3 linked regions of the Daphnia pulex genome follow. The protein of the gene in region 3 interacts with the protein of the main gene of each other region in a biochemical or structural test. Links are inferred from orthologs where the notes say so. Each region holds a gene or a part of one and is shown on either strand. Other genes may lie near its edges. The genes, in order: ubiquitin-conjugating enzyme E2 W-like, ubiquitin-conjugating enzyme E2 H-like and ubiquitin-like modifier-activating enzyme 1.

What was found.
Region 1: of the proteins of ubiquitin-like modifier-activating enzyme 1 (region 3) and ubiquitin-conjugating enzyme E2 W-like, one has a biochemical effect on the other in vitro, tested with the Homo sapiens proteins (5 studies listed by BioGRID, with this or other methods). The link is inferred for Daphnia pulex from reciprocal best matches to the Homo sapiens genes UBA1 and UBE2W.
Region 2: of the proteins of ubiquitin-like modifier-activating enzyme 1 (region 3) and ubiquitin-conjugating enzyme E2 H-like, one has a biochemical effect on the other in vitro, tested with the Homo sapiens proteins (3 studies listed by BioGRID, with this or other methods). The link is inferred for Daphnia pulex from reciprocal best matches to the Homo sapiens genes UBA1 and UBE2H.

What each region holds. Positions count from the first base shown.
Region 1 is NC_060027.1:2,995,324-2,998,949, forward strand, and holds ubiquitin-conjugating enzyme E2 W-like, read right to left. Parts: upstream 2,696-3,626; 5' UTR 2,159-2,695; coding exon 2,111-2,158; intron 2,044-2,110; coding exon 1,952-2,043; intron 1,875-1,951; coding exon 1,772-1,874; intron 1,699-1,771; coding exon 1,647-1,698; intron 1,568-1,646; coding exon 1,464-1,567; intron 1,396-1,463; coding exon 1,320-1,395; intron 1,242-1,319; coding exon 1,228-1,241; 3' UTR 515-1,227; downstream 1-514. UniProt on the Homo sapiens protein: Accepts ubiquitin from the E1 complex and catalyzes its covalent attachment to other proteins.
Region 2 is NC_060019.1:1,501,335-1,504,703, forward strand, and holds ubiquitin-conjugating enzyme E2 H-like, read right to left. Parts: upstream 2,547-3,369; 5' UTR 2,419-2,546; intron 2,338-2,418; 5' UTR 2,088-2,337; coding exon 2,035-2,087; intron 1,907-2,034; coding exon 1,830-1,906; intron 1,770-1,829; coding exon 1,602-1,769; intron 1,539-1,601; coding exon 1,411-1,538; intron 1,338-1,410; coding exon 1,203-1,337; 3' UTR 643-1,202; downstream 1-642. Other genes in the region: glycerate kinase-like, read left to right, coding at 3,275-3,369. UniProt on the Homo sapiens protein: Accepts ubiquitin from the E1 complex and catalyzes its covalent attachment to other proteins. E2 ubiquitin conjugating enzyme that transfers ubiquitin to MAEA, a core component of the CTLH E3 ubiquitin-protein ligase complex.
Region 3 is NC_060018.1:5,971,814-5,974,077, forward strand, and holds the end of ubiquitin-like modifier-activating enzyme 1, read right to left. Parts: coding exon 2,154-2,264; intron 2,098-2,153; coding exon 1,955-2,097; intron 1,883-1,954; coding exon 1,391-1,882; intron 1,325-1,390; coding exon 998-1,324; 3' UTR 613-997; downstream 1-612. Other genes in the region: uncharacterized protein LOC124207205, read right to left, coding at 1-222. UniProt on the Homo sapiens protein: Catalyzes the first step in ubiquitin conjugation to mark cellular proteins for degradation through the ubiquitin-proteasome system.

The sequences.
Region 1 (3,626 bases), on a different chromosome or scaffold from region 3:
TTCTCCTTAATGAATTTTAAAAAATGCAGTTCGGATTTTTGTAATTATTATTTTTTAAAAAAGGATAAAATAGCTCGGCGGATTTGTTTCTTCTCAGTGTGTACACGTCCGACGGAATACCGTGCAGCGCTCAATCATTTTAGATTTCCTCCTTTCTGATTTTATTAATTGATTTAAAAAAAAAGAAAAAACGAAAAAAAAAAGTTAAATTGTTTTTTTTTTTTTAAACCTTTCCCTTTTTATTACCCAGGAGAATTTGTTTGTCAAAAAACCTTTCTTCCTCTCCTTTTCTTCAGCTCATATCCGCTATATATACACTCCTCATATGACTGGCTATTTTAACATTAACATGAGTCATGGTGTGTGTGTGTATAATACGATCATTAATTGACGAATGACATTTTTTTTCAAGTCGCCCACCTTAATTAATCTCTACGTTTACCCAAAAGTATGTTTTGTCACGCCCTTCATTGCTGTTGTTATAGCGGAGTCTTAAAAAAAAGCTGTCGGAAACGAACTTTAATCTCTTCTTCTATTTCTTTCGAAACAAAAACATCACACAAGACACACACACACACACATCAAAAAATGTTCTCGAAAAGGATAATAAAACAGAAAAAGTCGATTACAAAATTTGCGCCCTACTACCCTCTGATTTTGAAACCATTTCAGAAATATACAATTCATTATTTACTTGGCTAATTCAAATCGTTTAGTTTTTTTGTCTTCCAAACGTGAAATGAAAAAGAATTTGAGTATAATAGTTGAAACAAATTTTATACGAGCGAAATATTTTTCGTTTAACATTTAAAGAATGGGTGGGGGTAAGATAAAACACAGTAGAAGGGGGGAAAAAGGCTTCGTAGATTTGATGTCGATTAAAAGTCGAAAAATCAAACGCCAAAAGTGTGAAACATTACACATCTGTAGTTTTTCGTGAATATTGCTACAAGTCAAAAATTGGAGAGTATCAACCGCATATTAATCAAGACAGAGAGGAACTGTTTCGTTATGCGAGGAAGTAGTAGGTCAATATCGGGAATGGGAAATCAACGCGATCGATTCGGAAGGGTGGAAAATTTTGACAACTGAAAAAAGAAAATCCATTTTTGTTTTCTTTCGTATTTTTTTGGCGACTAGATTGTCTCTGACGCGAGCATCGCCAGCGTGAAACAGGTTCTTTTTCTTTTCGTAGCGGGAATCGAGGGGGAGAGATATCAACCCGTTTTACACTTCTTCGTCTGGCAAATTGGGAAATGATTTATGGTTAAAAAAGATTAATAATAACTCGGGTTTAGGCGGTAGCCATTCAAACTCACCGTGGTACCACCATTTGGTTTTCTTTGGGTTCTTGCTGCACGTTTTCACGTACATACTGTCATCCGGTGGTCTCTTCTAACGGGTCAATAGTCGTGAATGAGTGATGGGTGAGAAAGATACTTTTTCACACAATTGAAACTGACCTTTTCTTTACAAGAGCTGAGCATTGAGATAATGGAAACACAGACCGAAAAAATGGACAGAGCCGGTGACCAGTCATCGGTCAATATACTGAGGCAGATGTGGCCTGAATAACCGAAAAGGTTGGAGAAAAGAGCCGCGGTTAAATTATTGACCATCTTTTAAGGGTTTCACGCTAGACAGACCGTTGCTGTAGACGTGCGGATGGACAGGGATCTCCGATCCGACGAAAACAACCTAAAGAGAGTGGTCTCAAATGAGTAAAACATACGTGTTGGTTTTGGTCAATTCGTTGACTGAAAGGTGTTACCTCGGGCGAATCGAAAGGGTACTTTGGTCCGAAACGAAACTGTAACTGAAACTGCTCCCCTTCGTAAATCGTTCCTTGAGCTCCATTAATACTCAACACCAACCTGGAAGTGAGATTTGAAAAAAATAAAGTGAAAAAAGTGTGATGCACTTGTCCAACAAAATGTCAAGTCAATCTTACAAGTCCAGGCTCTGGCCCACAGATTCTCCATCGATCACAACACCAGGAGGAGGTTCCTTGATCAAGGAGACAAGCTCCTTTTGCAGCCTTTTCTGTAATATTAAAAAAAAATTGAGTTTTATTTAGATACTGATCTATTCGGCAACAATCAGGGTTAACCTCTTGTCTCTGAAGAACACACGATTGAGTCAGGGATTTGTCACTCATATTCGCAGTGGGCACCAATAATGTGAGACACAACCACCAGCAAGTAATGCGAAAACTATACTCACCGATCCAAGAACTAACTTGCCACTTATGTAGCTTTCTCCTTTTATAGAAAGGAAATGTCACCAGTTTGACAGTACGCTGCAGGGTTTCACTTCACGTGAACCGTGCAAAGCCACACCAGACATGTGCCAAACTGACATGTGCCAATAAGTCAGAACTCTCTTCTAGGGTTTCATTTTCTCAGGTGACTCAATTGGGAAGAATAAGGAAGCAGTTGGTTGAATCTGTGCCATAACCGATTAGCAAGCTTCAAGAACACACACCATCTCCAGAGCAGTATAGCTATTTTTACCGCTAAAAAGACTTCCGAAACCTCAAACCGAGTCAAGAATATTACTTAAAAGAAAAGTTTTACTAGCAAAATGTCAAGGACAAGTCCAAATAATGATGAGATTGAAGGACAAGCTGACATGGCAACCGAAGGTTCCTCGAGTTTCATTTTCTACCAACTACGACTAGATAATTGCAGGCGGCTCTTTAACGTTTCGCCATTCTGAATACGTTCACACTTATTAAACTGAAGCATTTTTTTATTTAATATTTACCTGAGCAGGAGAACATGTGAAACGCGAGTGATGTGATGACATGTTTTGTTTTCTTCCTCCAAAAACGTCTGGGTATTTCGCAGACGCAGTTGTGCGGAACGCTGTGAATTGCGGAAAGCAGATGCGGAAGTTGCGAGTTCAACGACCGTGGAAACTGCCTGTAATAAACATTTATCGTCGTTTATTTCTTTTTACGTCGCAAATAAGATTGCCCTTCATCTCTGATTCAGCGAGTTTCTTTCTTTTCCAGTTCACACGCAGACAAAAAACAAACGTCAATAAGTTGGGGGATTCCAACGTTCACTGAACTTTTGTGGTTCGTGAGCGGAAACAATAACTACGCAAACGGGCCAAGTTGCGTCTTCCTTAACCTCCTTTGTCGTGCAATGTCACTGCTAACTGTCTAATTTGTGTCCCGCGTCAGCTAATTGGGACTGGGTACTGTACATCTCCTATATAACCTTAAGGCAGAAAGTTATCGATTGATGACATATGGTATTATAACAAAACTGAGACGTTGATGTTTTTTTAAAAAGGTGGGAGCCCTTATCTTTTACAAGTGACAACAAAAGCGTAACGGTAGTATTGTTTTCAGTTGGAGATATTTATGGCAGTTGCGAATCCTTTAAGGACTAACAAGATATAGTGACAACAGCAGTGTCATATTGACGTAACACATTATGCAATAGGTGTGAGTGACGCAAGTCGAGCGAATCGACGTTGTTTGATCGATTCTTCATTGTCTCGGCGACAGTAGTGGGAAACAACGAAGTATCAACATTTTTTTTTATTTATTTCGCAAATTAATTAAATAATTTTCTCCAGGCGAGGCTCGAACTCGCGACCTCGGCATTACTTTC
Region 2 (3,369 bases), on a different chromosome or scaffold from region 3:
CTTTGGGGTTGGCCGTCAACGAGACACACATTTCTTCCCCCACCAAACAAACGTTCCGGTCGGGTTCATTTGTTGGAACACCTGTGGCCGATATCATTCAAAGTGAAAGTTTTCTTTTGATTGAGAGATTTGTTTGGTTTTAAGGTTGCACTATAAAATGTCACCTTTGAAACAAACAAACAAAAAATTGACAAAGAATTATTTATTTATTTATTTTTTTAGAGATTTTATTTTTCTTTGAAAAACCAAGTATTCCATCCCGACATACAAATTTCTTAAAATCGCTTGGTTTCATTTCCAACTAAAACAAAAAATCGATTTTTTGTGGTCCGCATATTCCGCGGTGCTGTTACATTCGTGAAAAAAAGAAACAATCGAATCTTCTCTAATAAACGCACGGTCAAAAATAGTTAAAGGTGAAACAAAAGTACGAATTAAGCTACAAGAAAAGAAAAATCTATTCGATTCTCCTGTCAAGTGACGAGAGAACCAAAACAAAAAGAACCTAAACATCTTGTCAAATTGCTACCGAGCCTGTGAAGCTCCGCTACGATACTTTTGACATCTCGACACACAAATACACACACACGCCGCGCATATACGTTGATATTATTGTCTTTTTTAAAAAGTGTTTTTTTTGGGGGGGGAAGATCAAAATGAGTTGATGAGCGATGCTAAATCCACACGAAAGATGTCAAACAAAAAGATGAATTATGTGATGGAAAAAAGAGGGGGGGCTCTCACTCTAAAACATTTATTCTCTGACTGCCCAAGGCATCTCCACTTTTTGAATGAAAATGAAATTTTTGCTGCTTCTTTTTAAAAATCGGGAAAAGAGCGGAGGGAGGAAAAAATTGGTTTTGGCAATTATTTTTGTTATTTTTTTCTAATACAGAAATTTTTTCAAAAGGATTTGAAACATCCCGAGAATAATTAGGATGCAAAGTTTTGTTTCCATAACAAACGAGCAAAGAGAGAGAGAGAGAGGTGCCAGAGGTGGTGGGTGATTTATCGCAATCATTAATATAATATAGCCCATTATCGGGATGAAATTTTGTACGATGAAACCTTTCTTCCGTTCAACGATGAATGAATGGAAAAAAAGAAAAAAAAATGTTAGCCACTTCAATGAGAGATAGAAGAAGAGGGGGAGAAAACGTAATAAACGACGAAATTTTTCATGTTAAAACAACGAAAAAGTCTCATAACTCCATGTCCTGAGCTTCGTCCTCACTGAAGTCCGACATGGAAGATTCCGAATCTGACGACAGGTGAGCGGCTTCTTGGGCTTCCTGCTCTCTTAAAGCCTCTTCAGTTGCAAATTTTTTCACATAGTCCTTGTCAATAGAAAAGGTCAGGTGTTACTATTGATCTATACGGATTGACACATGTCAGACATTGAAAATGTACCTGCACTTTTTTCTTGTACTCTTCGGGTTTGTGAAGATACATGGCTGCTGCATCGCCATTCAGTGGATCAATTGGATTTGGGTATGTGAGAAGCTGTGGCAGAAAAGACTCGAAGATATTGGACAAATCTGCAGATGAAAAGACAATGTCTCATTATTCATAAAGATTTAAGTACATTTAATGCAAAATACCATATAAAGCTGTCCAAGCTTGGTTGATGACATCAAGACAGACTGTTCCTGAGACCTCGTCAATGTTTGGATGGTAAACCTTGTTCATGAATCCAATAGATGGTGATTTGAACGGATAGTGCTCTGGCAAGTGAACTCGGACTTTCCAAATCCCTCCTTCATACGGTGCTACATTTTTCAATGAAATAATGACCTGAAAACAACCATGAATGATTTCTCATCACTTACTTCCTCTTGGACCATAAAACTTGACAGCAAATTCATTAAGTCCTCCAAGGATAGTGACCTCGTATTTGCTTTCAATCCTGAAAACAAAAACAGCGGGTATTACAATAAAGACTGTCAAAAACAATAATCCACAAACAAAAGAGTTTGAAGCAAAACATGTGTGAAACTCAAGGCCAGATATGATTCTGTTAAAATAATAACTTACAATTTAATGACATCTGTGTCCATTCGACGTTTTCCAGCACTGGGCGAGGACATTTTTGTTTGCACTCCAAAATCGACCACCTCGCGGAAAACTTCAGTCTGGGTTTCCCCCTCGAAATAAGAGTAGGTCCCCTTCTTTTCAGGTTAGACTCGATTGATTTGTGAAATTATTTTCGCCACAACTAATAAGAGAGGACACAATGGCCGACTGCTAGTCCCAAAAATTCTAATCCCTTCTCGCCTTGTGTGTGACGTCACCTTTATTTATAAGCAGCACGAGGAAACTGGTCTCTCAAGGTATTGCCTTTTGTACAGTAAAACAACAAATGCAGTCGATTAAAAACGGAAGAAAAACAAGCTTAGAATCTTGGAAATTATGTACTACCCAAAGATTTACGCAGCGAGCAAATGAAACAAACGATGAGCTTAGCACACTCTCTCCTGTCCTTCGCCACTGGCACTGTACGAATAACCATAACAAAGACAGAAAGGCTAAAAAATCCACCAAGTCAGCTGTGGCTCGCCACATTGGGTTTTGCAACCTACGCTCCTTTATTTATCGCAGTAAAATGGAGGTGGTTGCATAACTCTGCAAATCTAAATTACGTTTAATATTTTCCCTTGATTATTCCGATTACTTTCATGCATTTAGAATCATGTTTCGTGTTAGTTTTTTAACGCAGCCCTGGTCGTGTGGCCGTAGCGCGCGTATTTTGAAACGATGGATTGAAAATGTAGGTCAGGATTCTGCGCGTAAACAACTCCGTCGTATAATGGAGAAAGGACCAATCACTATAGACTAGTAAAACTGGTTAAAAATGAGAGAATTTGTATCGTTTGAATAGGTCGTCGAACGTGATCACGATCAGGCTGAGAGTCCAACGTTTACATTTCCGACCCAGTATCAATTGCTTATTTACATAAAAGATATGGTTACAATGAGCTATCTGAAGGCATGTTTACAGCAAAGATTCCTATGGCTTTACTCTCAAAGTTTTAGCTTGATTGTATTGCGTGATAGCGAATTTATTGATGGCTAATTAAAATTAACTCATCAGCTGATTTCGTCTGCCTTAACAAATTCAACGTGTCATTAGCAGACGAACGAACTGTAGGGGAAAAATAAAGAATTACACGTTCAAATCACAACAATAACTCGTAAGATTCGTGAAAAAATGCTTTTGCTTGCTACACGTTTTAAGCATTTATTGCCATTAACTTGAAAGAATTGTTGGCTGGGAATGGTGAACGTCATGAATGAGATCAGACTCATCTACAAAGCTGCCGTGGATGCCGTGAAGCCTGGTCAACTTGTAAATCAAGCAGTCAGATGTTT
Region 3 (2,264 bases):
TAAAATTTGAACTGCAACATTGAACCAACAAGTGGAACCTAAATTTATGAGACCAACTGGTAGGTTTTCAGTATTGATTTTAGATGATGTAGGCACCGATGGTCGAGGAAAGTAACGAGAGACGTGAGGCCCAGACTCGCCAGACAAACTCGCCATGCCTTGCTTCGCCATATTGTCGATGATTCGTAACAAGAATGAATTTTTGCTGTCGTCCACTTCCATTGAACTAAATGTTTAGCGAATATTATACGATTTTAACACAACAAGTGAGCAGTCGACTCTTATCATCCCAGCCCCATTTTTTTTAAACCGGGAAATTTAAACAGTCGCGGGATACGCCATCTAGTTTCAAGAATCAAAGTCATAATTTAATGTTTTATTTTAACAAATTTTTGCCTACGAAACGACGATTGCAAACTTTGATTTTTGTTACGATAAAACGACAATACCGTAACATCATTAAGAAGATTTTTAATTGAATAAATATTGAATAAATCGAACTTTCAGCCATTGATTTATCTCAATTGATTTATCATCAATCGACCAAAGTCAAAGACTTGCTAAGTACGTTGATAATGCACTTGATAAAAAAAAAAACATTTTTATATAGGATTTAATTTTGACGGCATGTATTAACTTCATACCAATATTCAAGGCCAGTTGTACAATCGGTAAACGGGGAAGGGTTGAAAGGGAGGTTGTTGAAAAAGTTGCAGCCATGTAGAGTAAGGATTTTTGCCCTTTGTTAATCCAATCGGTAACATTTAATACTCACTGGCACGAAGAAAGAACTCTTGGAATTGATTATAAATGACCCAGGTCAACATAACTTCCATAGAGAATTCTATTTAGAATTAAAGAAAGCAACGAACTAAGCTAATAGTCCACAACATTGGATATAGCGCAAGTGAACTGATGATTATGGTAGTAAATAACCTTGAAATCAAATATGAACCAACCCCCAACCCGCCGCACAACGTAGAGTAATCAAATAGTTTTATTCGGTCGGGAGCACGTAACGGACGTAGGGCACTTCAACGTCTTCATCTTCAAGGTTATTACAGCATAACTCGAAGACGAGTGCTTTGACATGAGGCTCCAGTCTCTTCTTCGACACACGCTTGACAACCTCTGACATGGGGAGATCCATACGTTCGCTTCGTTTAGCTTGCGGCATAAAGAACGAATAAAGCATGCAAACACCCTGTGAAAGCATGGTGATTTTCAGCTTGTGTTCGCTTTCGAAGTAATCAATAAATTGCCGGAGCGTCTTTTCACCCTCCACTTCAAAACGATCCCACAAGGTCCATTCCTTGTCGTAATACTTTAATCAAATACAAACAAAAAATTTTTTAGTTAACGAATCGATTAAAATATTTTCCAACAATACCGTTTGCTTGGGAGCAGCGATTGGTTCAGAAAAGCCAAAGAACGGAAGAGCCAAGTTGATAAACCCGTTCTTAAATGCCTCAGGATTGGTATGACCCTGTACCAACTTCAAAAGTTCGATGCAGACCAAGCCTGAAACGACGGAGGTAGTAGTAGCAATGGCTGGAATAATCTTTCCAGCAATAAGTTTGCTCTTGTGGCGATCGGCCGGTGCGATATCATAATTCTCTGCCCGCAAGTTAGAAGAGGCTACGATGAAATCCATATGAAAGTTGGTGTCGTCATCCTTTTCAAATTCGAGGGGGAGAATGCGCAAGCCGGACAGAGAGTCCACAGATGGCAACTCCGTCTGCAGCTGGGTAAGTCTGTCTTCATCAAGCATGCCTGGGTTGTTGGCGGCAGCAGCAGCTTCCGCATCCGAAACAGCAATTCTGACTCCTGAACGTGGTACGAATTCCGGTACGACACACGATTCCACCATTTTAGTAATAGCCTATATTCGAGTCCGAGGGGATAAAAACAACTGTAAATCAAATTATGTTTTAACTAAAAAAAGTGAACTCACCTGTACATCGCGCGACTGTGGGATGTTGTAAATTTTAGCTTTTAGATTAGCAGCCGCAACCACATAATCCAAATGGACGGGGTTAGTGATATCGAATTCCAATGGATGAGGACAGCGTTTAGGTCCCGACCAAAACGGTTGACCTGTCAAAACAAAAAATTATATACAAAGTAAATTACACTTTATCAATAGATTTTACCAGAAGAAGTAAGTTGCTCGGGTGGAAAATTAAACAATAATTGCTTGATCTGATTGTGATATTGTTCCTGCCAATGGAGGCGAGCCCATTGAACACACTGCTCAAAATTCT